Tamandua tetradactyla: one gene and its partner. The protein of the gene in region 1 purifies or fractionates together with the protein of each later gene. This does not show direct contact. Links are inferred from orthologs where the notes say so. Each region holds a gene or a part of one and is shown in the gene's direction. Other genes may lie near its edges.

Region 1 (8,391 bases):
GTGACACAAATCCTCCTCTAGGTGGCAGTCCTACTCTAGCTACCGGTGTATCTTTAGGGACTCTCACAACAAGTGACATGTAGATACTTACTACGTATTTGTTGAATGAATACATAAAATCTTAATATCCAAGTGATTCCTTTAATATGCAGTCTGTGGCTGTGGACTTTAGACTCACAACTGGGACTAAACTTGGCTCCTCCACTTGGAAGCTTATGGCTGCATGTAATATATTTAACCTTGCTAAGCTTCATTTTCTCTATTTTAAAAATGGTGTCCTTAAAGGTTTGTGAGGAGCACATGAGATACTGTGTAAAAGAAAGTCCTGGGCCATAGTTATATGGAAGTCAATACTTACTGAATTCGTTTGTTCAACAAATATATATTGAAAACCCACTATATGATAGTGAACACAAAGATGAGGTGTCTGTCCCTGTAGAACTTACCTTCCAGTGTATTTTCTGAAGGGGAGTCAGAAAATAAAGTTTCTGTATGTCCGATCGTGATAAGTAGGATGCAGAAAACTAAAGCACATTAAGGGGGTGGAGGGAAGAATTATTTTAAAGAGGATGGTCAGGAAAGACCTCACTGAGCACATGACCATTGAGCAGACACCTGAAGGAAGGAGAGCCATGAGGATATCTGGAAGAACATGCAAGGGTTATGAGGGCAGAGCATCCTTGGCCTGCTGGAGGAGCAGCAATGAGGCTAGACTGAGTGAGCAAAGAGAGGAGGGTAGGGGTGGTTGGCTGTCCTGAGGTTTCTGCAGGAATCTGGGCTGGAGAAGGTGGGGGCTTACGAAATGGACAAACTACAAAATCAAAGGTCTTCTTTCCTTATTATTATGCTTTTTCTCTGACAAAATGTCATAAAAATGGCAATGTAGCTCTCACTATGTGCCAAGCATTAGTCAAAGTGCATTGCATACATTAATCTTTGGCAATTTAAAAAAAAATTTGGAAGGAAGGCATGACATTATTCAAGACGTACAGCTGAATGAATATGCCCCCGTTGGGATCGGACTTCTGCAGCATTATCGAACCGCCTCTGGATACTTATAGGTTAGCTCGTGAAAGGCAAATCTGAGATGACTGTAATCAGTACCAGCCAATGTGCATCCTGCAGTGAAGTTCAGTTTTCTGAGAGAGCTGTCAGTGTCTATGGCATTTTTAGTGCTCTTCTTGCTATGTTTTAGCCCTCTTAAAATGTTTGTCGCAGGTTTTCATTTGGGCTTTGTTTTATCATAGATAGATGTACATACATTGCTTCAATATGTAACTCAAGTGAAAAACATGGAACTCAAGTGAACAGTGTGGTCACCTGGGTTGGAGTGAGGGGCTGGGTGACCGCTTTTGCTCTCTAAAGAGCTTTTTGTGTCTTTGCTTGTCAGTTAGAGCATGTCATCTTTGATTGTTAAATCATAACATCACGGTCATGATTTATAAGCTTACCTGCAACCCTGCAATACCTCATATCCGTACACATCACAGGTATTTTCTGAATTAGGCCCACTGGCAAGTGAATGAAAAGTTGTTTCATGGGTGCTCCTTTTACTCCTGACGTGAATGATTCATTCTTATCCCAAGTTGTCCTCCCTGATTTGGCTTGGCTTCATTATGCGGTGGAGTCAAGGTGTCCTGCTGGTGGAACTAGAATTGTGTTTGGGCACTTTTTGTTTTGGATGCTTTATGGTCGGGGGGTCACATTTCGTTCTTTTTCCATGTGACTATCTTGCTTTTTTGGAGGGTGGGGGTAGTACACAGGCTGGGAATTGAACCCTGGTCTCCTGCATGGCAGGCAAGAATTCTACCAGTGAACTACCCTTGCACCCCCACCGTGCTTGCAACTCCAGGGTACTTAGGAGGTCTCTTTTTCCCAGCATTGCCCTCCGCACCCTATTAGGTTAAAAGCTTTGTGCTTGTTTGACTTGTCAGTTTAGTCATAGTTCTTAGACAATTGCAGATTTCATGAGAACATAAGCATGTGTATATTTTGGGGTCTATTTTGACATTATTGCTAGCACCTCAAGCTTTAGAAGAGGAGAGTAACACGAGATGTTTACTCTGTAAAAGCAGGGATAAAATGGTGGTGGTGTTCTGATGGTAGATAAGTAACATGTTTTCCTACCCTTGCTTAAGTTATGGTCACACATTTAAAGTTGAAGATAGGGCAAAGCCCCAGTTCTGAAAGCCTACTAAACTCCTGTTGACATTAGGTGGAATTTCTGTGATACTGCAAAGTCTGAGAAAAAAATACAAAGTTAAATAAGAAATAATTTTCTCTTTAACTCACAAACCTCCTGGTGCTTGTTCATCTGTGAGGTTAAGCTTCAGGCCTGGTATCAGGGAGGACATTTTATCCTAGGGCTTAGCCTAAGATCATGACCCCATGGGCAATGTACTTGTCAGCTTTGTCTTGCCTGAAAGAAAACTAAAAGTAATAGCTGTGTTTTAAGGCTAGAAAGCTTTATCTCCTCTGAAAACCCTTCCAGAGTTAATGCAGGCCTTAGCGAGACATCAAGTTGGTTATGTTTAAGCAGAATCAAGCCCCGCTATTGGATGGTCTGAAAATGTTTAGGAAACTTATTCTCAAGCAGTATTGTACAACTCCAGGGACACCATTCTCTTGATGTCATTCATTGAGGTGCATAGAATGTGAGTGGGATTGCATAATGCCACGGTAGTGATACCAGGCTGTCCCTTCAGCATTACGGTCTACAAAGGCAAATAAGTCACTATATCTTCTCTCAGGGAGTTCCCAATCTCAGAACACAGGCATGTAGCATAAGGGCAACACATGTTACCTGTGTCATGTGGAAAGCCTGTTCAAGTTACAGTGGGCACAGGAGGCAGTGGCCATCTCTGTTGAAGAGTGCCATGTTTGGTCAGGAAGGGCTCTGTTCACTTGAACAGAGTCTACAAATGTACCAGTGTGAAGAAGTGGGGGGACTGGCACTGCTGGCAGAAAGAGCTGGGAGAGTAAGCCTGGACTAGGCGTGGAACAGTGTCCAGCAGGTCAGGGTGTGGCATCTGCACTGAGGAGACCGCAGGAGAGTCAGGGTGATTTGGCCTTTCTCCCACAGGCAGTGGGGGAGTCTCTGGAGATGTTAAAGTTCATGCTCTCTTTAAAAGATCTACTAGGAATGGATGGTTCTGTTGTTTTGAGATAGCATAGAAAATCTTGAGGCAGAAGGGAGAAAAAATGCTTTGTCAATATTTCCCCTTCAGGACCTAAACATTTTTTAAAGACACAAGGGAAATATGCTTAATGGAGTGAAAAAAACCCTGCAAAATGGCCTGAGTGTAGAATTCTTCTAGATTTCTCTCTCCAGTTTTTTATTATGTTATGCAATATTTAATGAAATCACTTCTTTGTAGTAACGAAGTTGGCATAAACTGGCCAGAGAACAAACACGTCGGAACTTGATAATTTTGTAACTCAGTGGGCACATCGGTGGAGGAGTAGCAGGAGCCTCCAGTGTGAGGGAGCCTTGGTCAGAATCCTTTAGAGGGAGTAGAGGCCGCTGGTTAAATAGTGATGGCCAGTAAAGTGTCTCCTGTATTTATATTGTGACCACTTCACAGGGGCACATAAAAGAGATGAGAAGTTCTTGACTGAACAGATGAAGAATTCCTTCTCTGTAGCCATTGACAAAGTGCAGAGGACTGTGAATTTTTTAACGTTCATCATTCAGAAAGATGCTGAATTTTCTTTGTATATTCATCCAATGAGGGTAATTTGAATTAGGGAAAAATTGTTTTCTCAATATTTTTGGTAATGGATGTCTGAAATGGGATCTCCGAAACTGTGTGCAGGAGTGCCCCCAAATACTGTTCTCTTGAAATCGAAGGCCTCCTTCATTGAGGCTATGTGTGTGGTCCCCTTTGCTTTTGTCACATGGTTTTGCTTTACTCTTTACCTTCCCCCCCCCCCCAAAAAAGCTCCATGCATAGACAAGAGCAAGCCTTTACATTCAAAAGACTATAGACTGGGAATGACAGTGCTGTCCAGATTTCCTCTTTTGCCCTGATTCAGGATATAAAAAAGGATTGTCTTCGGAAAAAAGGATATTGGTCTAGAAGTACCAGAAGCAGGTAGTGTTACGTTGGGTTCATTATTGTCCCCATTTTACAGATAGGGAAACTGAGGCACGGGGTGGTTAACTGACTGATGGAAGGTTATACCTCGCATCAGTGGCAGAGCCAGGTATTGTACCCACACTGTCTGGCTGCAGAGTCCATCCTCTTAGCCGCTATCTACTGCCTTTGCTGGTAGGAACTCCCAGGTTCACTACCGTATTCCCAGCCCCGAGAGTAGATTGTCTGGCTCAGGCACTGTTTATTGTAGAACAGAAGTTTTGGACAGAGGGAGAAGAAGAGAATATGAATGTGGCAGAGACAGAGGCGTGTCACAAATGTGAGGGGACGCCAGGGAGGCAGAAACAGGCCGGGGGCTGAACCTCTGCTGGGCTGACGGAGGTAGGGAGTTAGGAAGGAACATTTCAGTAATACTCAACTGCCCAGCACCTCCACGTTTGTTATTTCTTTGTAGTGACTAGCCTCAAAACCTTAAAACAGAGAAGTCTTGAAGATTTGGACGGGGAAGGAATAAAGGAAGCCAAGGGTCTGAAGGGGAGACGCGAGATGGTTCTCTGCCACGCTGGCCCGGCTGCAGGGAGGGCGTGGATGCCTTCGGAAGCCCTGGCGCTGGGGGCGGGCGCTTGACGGCGGGGCGAGGCGGGGCGCGGCCGGTTGGCTCTGGGCAGCTTCAGTGCCGAGGCCGGGGATAAAAGGGCCACCTGCTCGCTGGCCTGTTCGCGCGGCGGAGACCGGCCTGCGAGGTTCGTCGCGGCAGTCCCGCGGGTGCGTCGCGGCCAGCTAGTCTTCCTGGGTCGGCGCGCGCAGGAGCAGAGGCCCGGGCTGCGCGCATGCGTGCTGCGCGGCGCCCCGGCCTTCAGCCGCAAGTGAAGGGCGGTTGGGTTGGAGGCTGCGGAAAGTGCGTGGAAGTTAATGTGGAAACCTAGAAAGCTGCATGAATCACTGTTGCTTTTGAAATAGAAGAGCTTTACTTGTCACTCCATGCTAAAATTTTGTAGTCAGTTTTCAGTTTACTGGTTCGAAAAGTTGATATACTGGGATTACTTGCTCCCATAAGTCAGTTACACGTATAAAAGATAAATCCGAGCTCATTATGCTCTGAAGTATTAAAAACCTTAAAATATGCTCTAGCGAATTCAAATTATTACCTTATTTTAATTAGCTTTAGACATTAACGTTTGTTTGAGTGGTTTTAAAAACAGTTATGCAGAACTAGTTTCTGAATTTCAGAAACTACTTGTCTTGATAAAGAATTTGAAAGTGGGCTAGGGTAACCATGTGTAACATGGTTTAATGAATTTGAATTTAATCAAAATTAATGAATTTTGATATAAAAAACGATCTTTTTTTTTTAACCGACAAGAAGAAGAAACTCTTGGCGTAAAGAAGAAATGTCCCAAGGTAAAATTAAACGCATACTATCAATTACTGTTTTATGATTGTTTTAATGAAAGTTTGTACAAAATCTTATGTAGGTTGCCTTATCCAAGGTAATGTAATTGGTCGTTAAGTATTTGGAATTTACTAATGCATAGGACAAATGTATTCTGTACATAGTTTCTTGAGGGCTTGGCCTTCTAGCAGCAGAGTCAGGAAAATAGATGAAAAGTGGGCATCGATTATTTTGGGGGGAAGGAGGGAGGGTGGGAAGGTAGATAAAGAATGTGAGAACTGGAAGGCGCAGTTAAAGTGATCTAGTCTAAGGTGAGCTAATCTTAATGGAAGTTTTTTAGGTAGTAGACCATTGAAATGATACCTTGAAACTTATTGGCAAATAAAATGAACTCATGGGTGATAATACACCAAGAAAAGAATAGGTGTGGTAGGGAGAGAATCCAGGACTAGACCTCAGGAACCTTAGTTCAAAATCCAGATACCCTTTTAGATGGTAGATTTGATGGTGAGACTTTAGATGGGTCATTTAACCTATCCTAGCCTTTGTGTCTTCATCTGTAAAGTTAGGGTGGTGTACTAAGCAGATTTCCAAGGTGTTTTCCAACTTTAAATTGTGGTTTATGTGTCACAAGAGAGTTTTATAGCTCTTTGGAAATTTTATGGTTAAGCCATATGATAATGACTTAGGTTCATTTGTGGTTAGTTGTTCATGATCTTAGGATTTCATAACAAGATTTGTGCAAGTATGGCTTGTACAGTTCGTACAATTTTTTTTGAGGAAGGTTCCAGGTTCTGTTATTTGAGGGTTGTGTGTGTCTCTAGCTGCTTCTGCTGTGCCCTGCCCTCTCTCCTCCCCTCCAAAACCCTGGGATCTTAGTGCCAGGGAAGATTTAGAAAGCGCTTAAACTTTTAACTTTGTCTCAAAAATAAAAATTTAAAGTGATCCTCATTTGAAGATGGTAGGACAGGAATTTGGACAATAATAGTAAATATTAATTTTGAAATTAGGACTGATTTGGTCCAATCTTTCTACAGGCAAAACTGCGTACTTTGAATGTATTGTAAGGTGTAAATTTATGAGTTTTTGTTGTAAAAACGGTTTGCTTTTTGCCACATCGTATAGTGAAAGACCAGACAGGGCTGTTTATTAAGCAAGTACTAGCTCTGTACCCACAAGCCTATGAAACAGATATTGTTTTCCTTACTTATGAATTAGAAAGTTAAGTTCAAGAAGGGCAAGTGGTCCAGAGTCATGGCACTGATAAATGGCTAAAGGAGTCTTAGTTAGGGCCTTCTCACCTCAAAGCCTATTCCAGTTTCGGTGCTGATTTCTGAACTCTAAAGGTGAAGGTTCCTGAGGTGCCCCTCACTCAGCTACACCTAATAATAATAATAACAACGAGAGTAATGGGGAGCTTATAGTGTGCAGCGGCTGGGGTGAGGGCTTATAGGTAATGTTTAACTTTAACTACAGTGCAGCCCTTTCTCTTCATTGTTCCAGAGGGGAAATCAAGGCTTGGAGAGGTTAAATAAGTATAGCTCATGGGTCTCAGGCTTGCAGATGCATCCTGGAACATCCTGTCACACCTCAGAGTGATCTCCTAACCTTCACACTTGCTGCACTACACTGGCTCTCTAACGAATGGCAAATTGCTGCAAATGACCAACTCTTACTGCATATGCCATTTCATAAAGTGGGCTCATGATTCAACTCAGGATTTTAGTTCATCCTTGTAGTGTGGTTCTTGATTTCAGCTTTGAAAGGCTTCCTTTTCGCCATAATATGAACTGGCAAGCACTAAAGTTTCCTTCTTGGGGGCTGGGTTGTTGAAGCCGAAGCCCCTAGATTGTCCCACAGGAAGGAGGAGGGACAAAGCCAAGGCAGCAGAAGGGCAAATTTTCTGGGACTGACTATAAAGAAATGAGACAGGTTTTCCTAGTGGCTGACAGATGGACTCTATAGACCCTTACATATAAGAGGTGTTCCAGCAAGATGCCTGTTTTGAGGGATGATGCTCATTTGAGCTTGAAGCGTGATAGAAATATGTGTGTGTGTGTGTAGCAGTGGGGAATCAGTTTTGCAACTTTAATCTTGTCCTGTAGTCTGCCCATAGGTGGTAAGAGGAAAATCCAGTGGTGTGTTCTTGCCATATTTTACTCTTATTCAGAGTTGTATAGTACTTGGGATTTCACTGAGAATTCTTGATTTAGGCACCTAGTAATACAGTCAGCAGTGTATGCATTTGAATTTGTCTCCTGAATCATCCAGAGCTCTGAGATCTTTGACACTGCAAATCATTTTGGGGAAACACTGAGATAATAAAATTTTAAGGGAAGTTAGAAAGTTTTCTTTCCTACAGGAATGCCATAGTTCCTGGATGTGAATCTTTTGCTGCGATGATCAAAAGTAAGCTTGTTGTTGAAGTGTACTTTGGAAATCATTGCTTTTTCTTTCTTTTCTTTGTATATATGTTATATTTAACAATGAAATAATGTTTACAGAATAAAAAAGATGACAGATAACAAAAATAACAAAACATGCCCTCATCAATAAAAACCAGAAAGATTAAAAAAAAAAAAAAGTACGTATTTTGGGCTTCTCCTTTCCACTGTTTTATTTTTGAGGGTGGGGCTCACACTGCTTTTGTCCCCATCCAGCTCTCCGCTAGCCCCCCTGGCCCCTACATTGAGGTTGGAGGGTGTAGTCAAGGCCAGACAAAGTTGCGCTTTGTCTCAAACAGGCAGACACACACTGGGTAAGCCCCTATTCAGGCTTCTCTGGTGATTTCCTTTAGGATTATTAGAAAGTTCTCTCTTGTATTGCCCCAAAATATCTCCAGTTAATTCTTTTTGCCCCCCTTGGGGTTATTCTGAACAAGTTGAATCCTTTTTTCTACCT
Region 2 (7,431 bases), on another chromosome or scaffold:
ACAAGAGGAAAGCTACACAATCATTTTCAGAGATCAAGGAAGCTGGACAGTTCAGAGATTTCAAGTACTTCTCTCTGTCTACTCTAATATATCAGAAACTTAAAAGGAATTTCGATGATTCAGTAATCACAATATTCCCCTAAATTCTAACTTCTCTATTACAGGAGGAGGAAACAGGGAAAGAGACATCCCCTGCTTTCCCACAAATTCTCAACCCGAAATCAGATCCTTTTCCTCGCTGGCCCAGCCTCCAGTGTACCCCATTAGGAAATGGGGGTGCTTTTCCTCCTCCCCACCTTAGAGAAGTCACAGCCCTCCAGGCCTCCACCTTCCTCCTTAGTGACAAAGCACTTTTGGAGCCCAAGTCAAATCCCTCAGGACCAGCAGAGTGCTGAGTCATGGTGGGGCAGCAAATTTCCACCACATCCCCCACCACTGGCCTCCTCCAGCTCTAGGACGGGCCAGCTTTCTCCCGATTCAACCCGCCAGGCCCTTTTCCCCTCCCCTACAGCCCCTCCCGCGGCTCCTGGCCCCGGGAGGCAGCTGCCTTGGAGACCAGCCAAACTCCAGCCTCCTAGAAGTCACGCGAAGCAGAGGGGCGGGTGTGTGTGCTCCTGGTCAACAAAGGTCCAAAGACCAGGCTGCAGCTTTGGAAGAATCTAGAGACTTAGAGATGGCAGTTCTGACACCCCTCCCCCCAGTTGGCCCTCCAGGTGGCAAAGCGGCACAAGTGCATGCATGCACGCACGCGCGTACACACACACTCACACAAGATTTCCCTTCCATTCTTCCCAGCCTAGCCAGCCCCCAAGCCACGTTCTACAGTACAAACCGTCCCTCCGTTTTGCTCTGAGGTTCACTGTAGCTGCCTGTGTGTTTAACCAAGCATGGAGCCAATAATGATTCATAAATTCTGCTTTCTAAAATAGGCGCATTTCTCTCCAACTTCATGCTAGCGCTTTCCCTCTGGAAAGCCCCCTGGGGGCTATTCAAACTCAGCACCTCCAGTCCAAAACAAAGCTGGCCATCTCCCATTTCTTCCCGTGCTCCCTGTTTCAGAGAAAGGAACCAGGAAGCCAGCTGTCCGGGCCAGAAACCTAGGGAGCTGTCTGCCCACCCCCATATTAACCCATCAGCCACTTCATCCTGTCCATTGTTTCTTCCCCATGTCTCTCAATCTGTTTTCTGTCCCCTCTGCACACTGAGGGTTAGGGTTGCTGTCTCCCAACTGGTATCTAGCTCTCTCGCCTAACTTTGATCCATCTTCCACGCTCAATCACTCATCCATCCATTCATTCAACAAATACTGAGCATGACTAACAAAGCACCTTGCAAAAGTCCTGGCAGTGCAGCGATGAAGAAGTTAGAAACAGTGTCTGCCCTCAGGGAGCAGGGGAGACCATCAGAGTGGTTACCAAAAGGTGGGATTTATATGTATATGATATATAATTACATTATATATATATATTACATTATGTAACTACATATATATATATTTTGCTTATTGACAGTCATGACTTATACAAGCTACAAATACTGTCAACCCACCTTGTTATTTGTCTATTTAACTTTGCAAGTGGCATCTTTAATTTTACTGGGGTTTTTTTTTTTTTTTTGCATGGGCAGGCATGGGCACTCGAACTCAGGTCTCCAGCATAACAGGCAAGAACTCAGCCTGTTGAGCCACCGTGGCCTGCCCAGTGTTTCATTTTTAAGGAGTCAATCTGCTAAGTTTCCTTTTAAGAAGGCCTCAGAAGAGCACTCCCTACCCCAAAACTATAAAAGATAATCTTCCATATATTTTTCTCACCACCTAAAGGTGGTATAAATGTATAAATAGGTTTTTCTTTAACGTTTGTAATTTTAGTCCATCTGGACCATATTTTTTTTCTTTTGAACCATATTTTTTAGTAGAATGAGTCACTGTTTTCCAGATGACTACCAATTGTTTCAAAATCATTTCCTGAAATCATTCTTTCTCCTCTAATTTGAAATGCCACTTTATCATGTACCATGTTCCCATAAATATGTGGGTGGGACTGTTTTGTTGTGCTGACCTAATCACTGTTTCAATTAAACACTGCTTATAGCACTTTTAGTACTTTTTTGTTATCAGGGAGGGCAAATCTACCTTTAAAGCTTTCTATCCCCAAGTGTTTGTCAGCTATTCTACACATTTTTTACAAATAAACTTTAGAATCAAGTCCCAAGAAGTTTTATGGAAATTGCTTTGAATTTATACGTTTATTTGGGGAAAACCGACATCTTTAAAAAATGAAACCTTTCCATTTGGAAACATGGTGTCTCCATTGCAGCAAGTTGTCTTTTCCTTTCTAGCAGTAATTGTTGACAGTTTTTTTTTCATACAGTCCCTGTTCACTTTATGACAAGGTATTTTAAGCTTTTGTTGTCAATGTAAATGAATTTCTTTTTCCTTTCATCACATTTTCTAAATGGTGGTTCCTGTTATGTAGGAAAGCTTTGCATCCGGTGACTTAACTGGAGTCTTATTCTAATAAATTATCTGTTGATCCATTGTAAGATCTCTAAAAACAAACTACTGCTGTGTCTCCCTGGTTAGAAATCCCTTAGAATCTCCATGTTGAATCCAGGATAAAGTTTAACCCCTTTTTATGGCACACAACTGTCCAGACCTTGCCCTAGATTCCCCTTGCATCATTCTCCAACATGATCTTTACTCTCCAGGCTGACACCCTTTCTGAAGGTTCCCTGGACAGACCATGCATTGCCACACCTTCATACATTCACATATGCTGTTCCCCCTGCTTGGAATTCTCTGGCCCACTTCACCTTCCTTTTAATTAACTTCTCCAAACTCGCGTATCACTTTCGTAGCGGAAGCCTGCATGACCTATCCCTGTTCGGGTAAGGCACCCCTCTTCTGTATTTCACAGCCAGCTTCTGCTTACTTTTTCGTAACTCTGACCCTACTAGAAATTCTTCCTGAGACTAGTTTACGTTCATTTTGAAATGAATAAAGCGCCAAGAGGGAGAAACTGCCATACTTCCATCAGCAAACTTCTTTTAATATTTTAATGGTGTTCCTTGAAAAAACAAAACAAAACAAAAAACAACGCTTTGGAAGCCCAGCTTCCAGTTTTATGTGTGTGAGCATTAAAAGGGTTTTTTAATGGGTCTCCACACACATCGAAGGGGCTGGCCGAGAACAGAGAACCCCCAAACCAGGAGGCTAGGAGGGCAGGAGGCGGGAGTCACGAAGTCGTGCCCACACTGCTTCACAGCTGCGAGCCCCCCACGAGCCCCTCCAGGGTCCCTGGCGCCCGTCCCCCCACCACTCAGGGTCATCAGCTTCTCTTCAAGGACAACCCCAGGGGAGCGGCCCCTCGCGGGGTCTCCTCGACCCCAGGCTCCCGCGAATGGGGCGCCTACGAGGCCGATCCGAGCCGCCTAAGTCTCTTCTCCTTTCTTTTTAAACTCCCGAGTTCTGTGTTTTGAGTTTTAAGCCACCCGCGAATTTCTCACGTCAGGCGGCTCAGCTCCGGGCCTCAGACTCCAGGGCACCAGGACAACGCCCGTCGCGGCCTTTGTTCTCACACTGCACGAGGAGCCATGTTTGCTCTCGGCGACGGGCGGGCGCGAATCCGAACGCCCGCGGCGGGCCCCGCGCCTCCATTCTGCTCCGTAGGGAAGGGAAAGTGCGCCTTTTCCCAACCCAGCCTCTGACGCCCTCGGCCAACGAGGACCCGCTTCTAACCACCGTCCATTTTCCCCTGGGAATCCGGGCAAGCGCCTCGAGGCGCGTGGCAACCGCTTCTCTGAGGCCCGGATTTTGTTCACAGCGTGTCCTTGGCCAAGAGCCTCGGGGTGCCCGTTTGGTACCTCAGCATCCCCCCCAACCCCCCGTCCCGACCACTTGCGAGCCCGGGGCCGATTCCCACCAGTTCCGCGGCCCCGTGGGCCTCCGAGCTCGGGGCTTTGTGGTAGACTCGGCGCCCCTCCCCAGGCCTTCCCTCAAGCCCACTAAGCGCGCGGTGGAGGGGGGGGGGGGGGGAGGCGCCCCTCCCCCAAGCCAGATGGGAGGGGCTCGCGCGCCCACCGGAAGGGGCGGGCCTCAGAGGGGCGAGCGGGCGGTTCTGATTGGCCGGGGCGGGCTTGACGCCGACTACCCGATATAAGACGCGGGCTGAGCAGCCGTCCGCCGCAGACGTCTTCGCGGAGAGTCGCCGTGGTTTCCTGCTTCAACAGTGCTTGAACGGAACCCGGCGCTCGCCTCCTCCCCGTCGGCCGGCCACTCCGAGCAGCTTTCAGCCACCTCTCCAGCGCCGCGCAGCCGCCGCCTCCTCCTCTCCTCAACCGCCCACCATGACGACCACGTCCCCGTCGCAGGTGCGCCAGAACTACAACCAGGACTCAGAGGCCGCCATTAACCGCCAGATCAACCTGGAGCTCTACGCCTCTTACGTCTACCTGTCGATGGTGAGGCCTGGCGAGCGGGCTCGCGGCTGGGTTGGGGGCCGGGCGCGGTCTCCCTGGGGCCCCGCGGGTTGCTGGGCGGGGCGGGGGTGTGGCCACCGCCTCCGCGCGCCCTTGGGAAAATGGAAGCTGCTCCCAGTCTACCCCGGACATGCATTGCGCAGCAATTCTGATTGTGGGCAATTTCGTGCCTTCCGGGTGTCCCAGGGAGCGCTCCCTCCTGGGCTAGAGCCTCCACTGCGCACCTCTCTTTAGGGAGGGGGAGAGTCAAGTGTTCTGAAAATCCCGGGTTTGCAAGACTTGCAGACTGTACATTCAAGCCTGCGGTTAGGAAGGTGATTTTTTTTTGTTGTTGTTCTTCTGCCCTTTTCTCCGCCTGCAGCCGTGTGTGTGGGCCCTCCATTTCTCTGGGTAATGGGGGCGAAGAGCTCAGCTCCCATCCCCCAGGGTATGGCGTCGAGTGGCAACCTTGGGGGCTGGGTGGGAAGTGGTTTATCTCCCGTGGGCGGGCCCCCCCCCCGAGCAGCCATCTCCAGCCCTTTGCTGTGCTTATCTGTAAGTCCCACTTGAATTTAAGCGTATCTCTAGGAATCGCCTGCCTTCGCCGAGTTACTTAACCCGCCCTTGCGGCTCAAGACTTAGTTCTTTTTCCTTTTGCTGCTTGGTTGGAGGGTTATGGAGGCGCATTAATTGAACTGTTAATTCTTGATAAGAGGCCATCAACAGTTAACTAGGAAAGAAATGTTTCCATGCAATAAATCGTCACGTTTTTACTCGTTTTACCAAGTCTTGGTTTTAGGCCCTGTGGTGGGAGTATTGAGCAGAACTGCCTTACATAATTTCAAGTTATCCAAGAACAGACACGTACCAAATGGGATTGGAAACGGGCCTGGATTTCTGTGTGCCATTCAGTTTAAGGAACACTTGAATACAGCAAGGGTCTAAAACTGAAAAATCAAAATGTTGTTTTCTACGGTAATACATTAACATCAGCATTTGCCCACAAGCATCATCTTCCCTGGCCGGTTAATTTTGAAAATCCAGGAATCTACTGTACAGCTGACAAGTTTATGAACTCTTTAGAACACATGCTTTAATGTGGGGTAATTGGGAAGGGAGGGCAAGGAAGGTACTGGCAGTAAGAAATTCTCTTCTGCACCAATAGTCTTTAGGATCCGTTGTGTTGAAGGTAAATTCCTATGATATTCTAAAGGTTCCCCAAAGAAGCAAGCTAAATCAATTTCAGTTTTGTATTTTAGAGTAACAACTCATCACCCTTAGGTGTAGAATTCAGGAGCACACTTGACCGGCATCTCTTTAGGGACTGTCCCCTCTTGATGTGCTTTGAAAGGGAAGCGGTGGCTACCAGACTCATTGCTACTTAATAGCCTGTTAAAGCTACTCCTTTGATAATCCCTAGCCTAATATATACATCTTAATACTTTCAGTCTTACTACTTTGACCGTGATGATGTGGCTTTGAAGAACTTTTCCAAATATTTTCTTCACCAATCTCATGAGGAGAGGGAACATGCTGAGAAACTTATGAAGCTGCAGAACCAACGAGGTGGCCGCATCTTCCTTCAGGATATCAAGGTGAACAAATGATTCTAGAGGCATCATGTGGGCCTCCTAATTAGCTAGCAGTGTTCAGGTGTCAAATCACTTGAAGATTTCCCTTTTAAAATGAGGTTACATTTAATTTTGTCTTTTTGGTGCCTTATTTCTGCCATCTAAACTAAAGTAGGCAAACAGTTATGGGCAAGGATGTTAAATTGAAAACTGGTGTCAGGGAAGCTTGAATGACCCTTTTGGAGAAGTTTGGTCGTTTAGAGCTAGGTGCCTGCTCTGTTGTTGATGGGCTAATCACTGGATGTGGCAGATGTTTGACCTAACCACATCTCATTCAGAAACCAGAACGAGACGACTGGGAGAGCGGGCTGAATGCAATGGAGTGTGCATTACATTTGGAAAAAAGGGTGAATCAGTCACTACTGGAATTGCACAAACTGGCCACTGACAAAAATGACCCCCATGTGAGTGTTGGAAACTGGGGACTAAAGGGGGGAAGAAATAATTTGCCTTAGGGGCTGGAAAGGCTTACCAATAACTTTGTTTCCCATTTTTTTCTAGTTGTGTGACTTCATTGAGACACATTACCTGAATGAGCAGGTGAAATCCATCAAAGAGTTGGGTGACTACGTGACCAACTTGCACAAGATGGGGGCCCCGGATTCTGGCTTGGCAGAGTATCTCTTTGACAAGCACACCCTGGGAAATAGTGATGATGAGAGTTAAGCCTTACGCTGTCTTCCCCAGAGTCACGGGGTGACTTCTGTGGTCACCAGGGCCGTGCATGCATGTTGGGTTTACCTTTGCCTTTTCTATTAAGTTGTATCAACACCCACCAAGTTGTTTCATTTGTACCATTCCTTCAAATAAAGTAATTTGGTACCCAACTGTTGTCTTGGAGATCTTTGAGTTGGCTGGAAATCTGTCTAGGCCATCTTGGCAGTTAAGCACCACAGTTTAGTTTCAGTCATAATAAAATGAAATTCCTCTGAGGATTTATATTTATTAAATTCCTTAGTTTGGGAAAGGTAACAGGTGTAGGTGTTTTGAATTTAAACAAGACACTAAGTACTCCTGAATTTCTGAATTAGGTTTTTGGAATTACTTGTTTTCAGTGGTTCATTCTAATTCACAATTTACGTTTAGAAAGCATAGGACGCTTAAGTAGTTCTGGAACTACTGACTTTGTTTTCTTTTGTTACCCATTAAGCTAACCATATAGTGCTGTAGTAGGGACATTCTTCAGTGCGAACAGCTAAATGGCTTAACCAGATGAATTCTTTCTGGTGTGCACACAAGTAAGGACCATATAGGTCACTATCTCCTTTGGGAGACAGGTTAGGGATGTGTTTCACTTCTGTTGGAGAAATTGAAAAAGACAATTGTAAGTGGCATGTACCTTAAT

The links.
Region 2: the proteins of NCOA4 (region 1) and FTH1 purify together in Homo sapiens (co-immunoprecipitation; 6 studies listed by BioGRID and IntAct, counting the BioPlex papers as one, with this or other methods). This does not show direct contact. The link is inferred for Tamandua tetradactyla from reciprocal best matches to the Homo sapiens genes NCOA4 and FTH1.

What each region holds. Positions count from the first base shown.
Region 1 is NC_135339.1:5,604,823-5,613,213, forward strand, and holds the start of NCOA4 (nuclear receptor coactivator 4), read left to right. Parts: upstream 1-4,915; 5' UTR 4,916-4,927; coding exon 4,928-4,995; intron 4,996-5,460; coding exon 5,461-5,498; intron 5,499-7,852; exon of another isoform or gene 7,853-7,889; coding exon of another isoform or gene 7,890-7,899; intron 7,900-8,391. UniProt on the Homo sapiens protein: Cargo receptor for the autophagic turnover of the iron-binding ferritin complex, playing a central role in iron homeostasis. Acts as an adapter for delivery of ferritin to lysosomes and autophagic degradation of ferritin, a process named ferritinophagy.
Region 2 is NC_135335.1:12,987,062-12,994,492, forward strand, and holds FTH1 (ferritin heavy chain), read left to right. Parts: upstream 1-4,153; 5' UTR 4,154-4,344; coding exon 4,345-4,458; intron 4,459-5,903; coding exon 5,904-6,050; intron 6,051-6,364; coding exon 6,365-6,490; intron 6,491-6,587; coding exon 6,588-6,752; 3' UTR 6,753-6,913; downstream 6,914-7,431. UniProt on the Homo sapiens protein: Stores iron in a soluble, non-toxic, readily available form. Important for iron homeostasis. Has ferroxidase activity. Iron is taken up in the ferrous form and deposited as ferric hydroxides after oxidation. Also plays a role in delivery of iron to cells.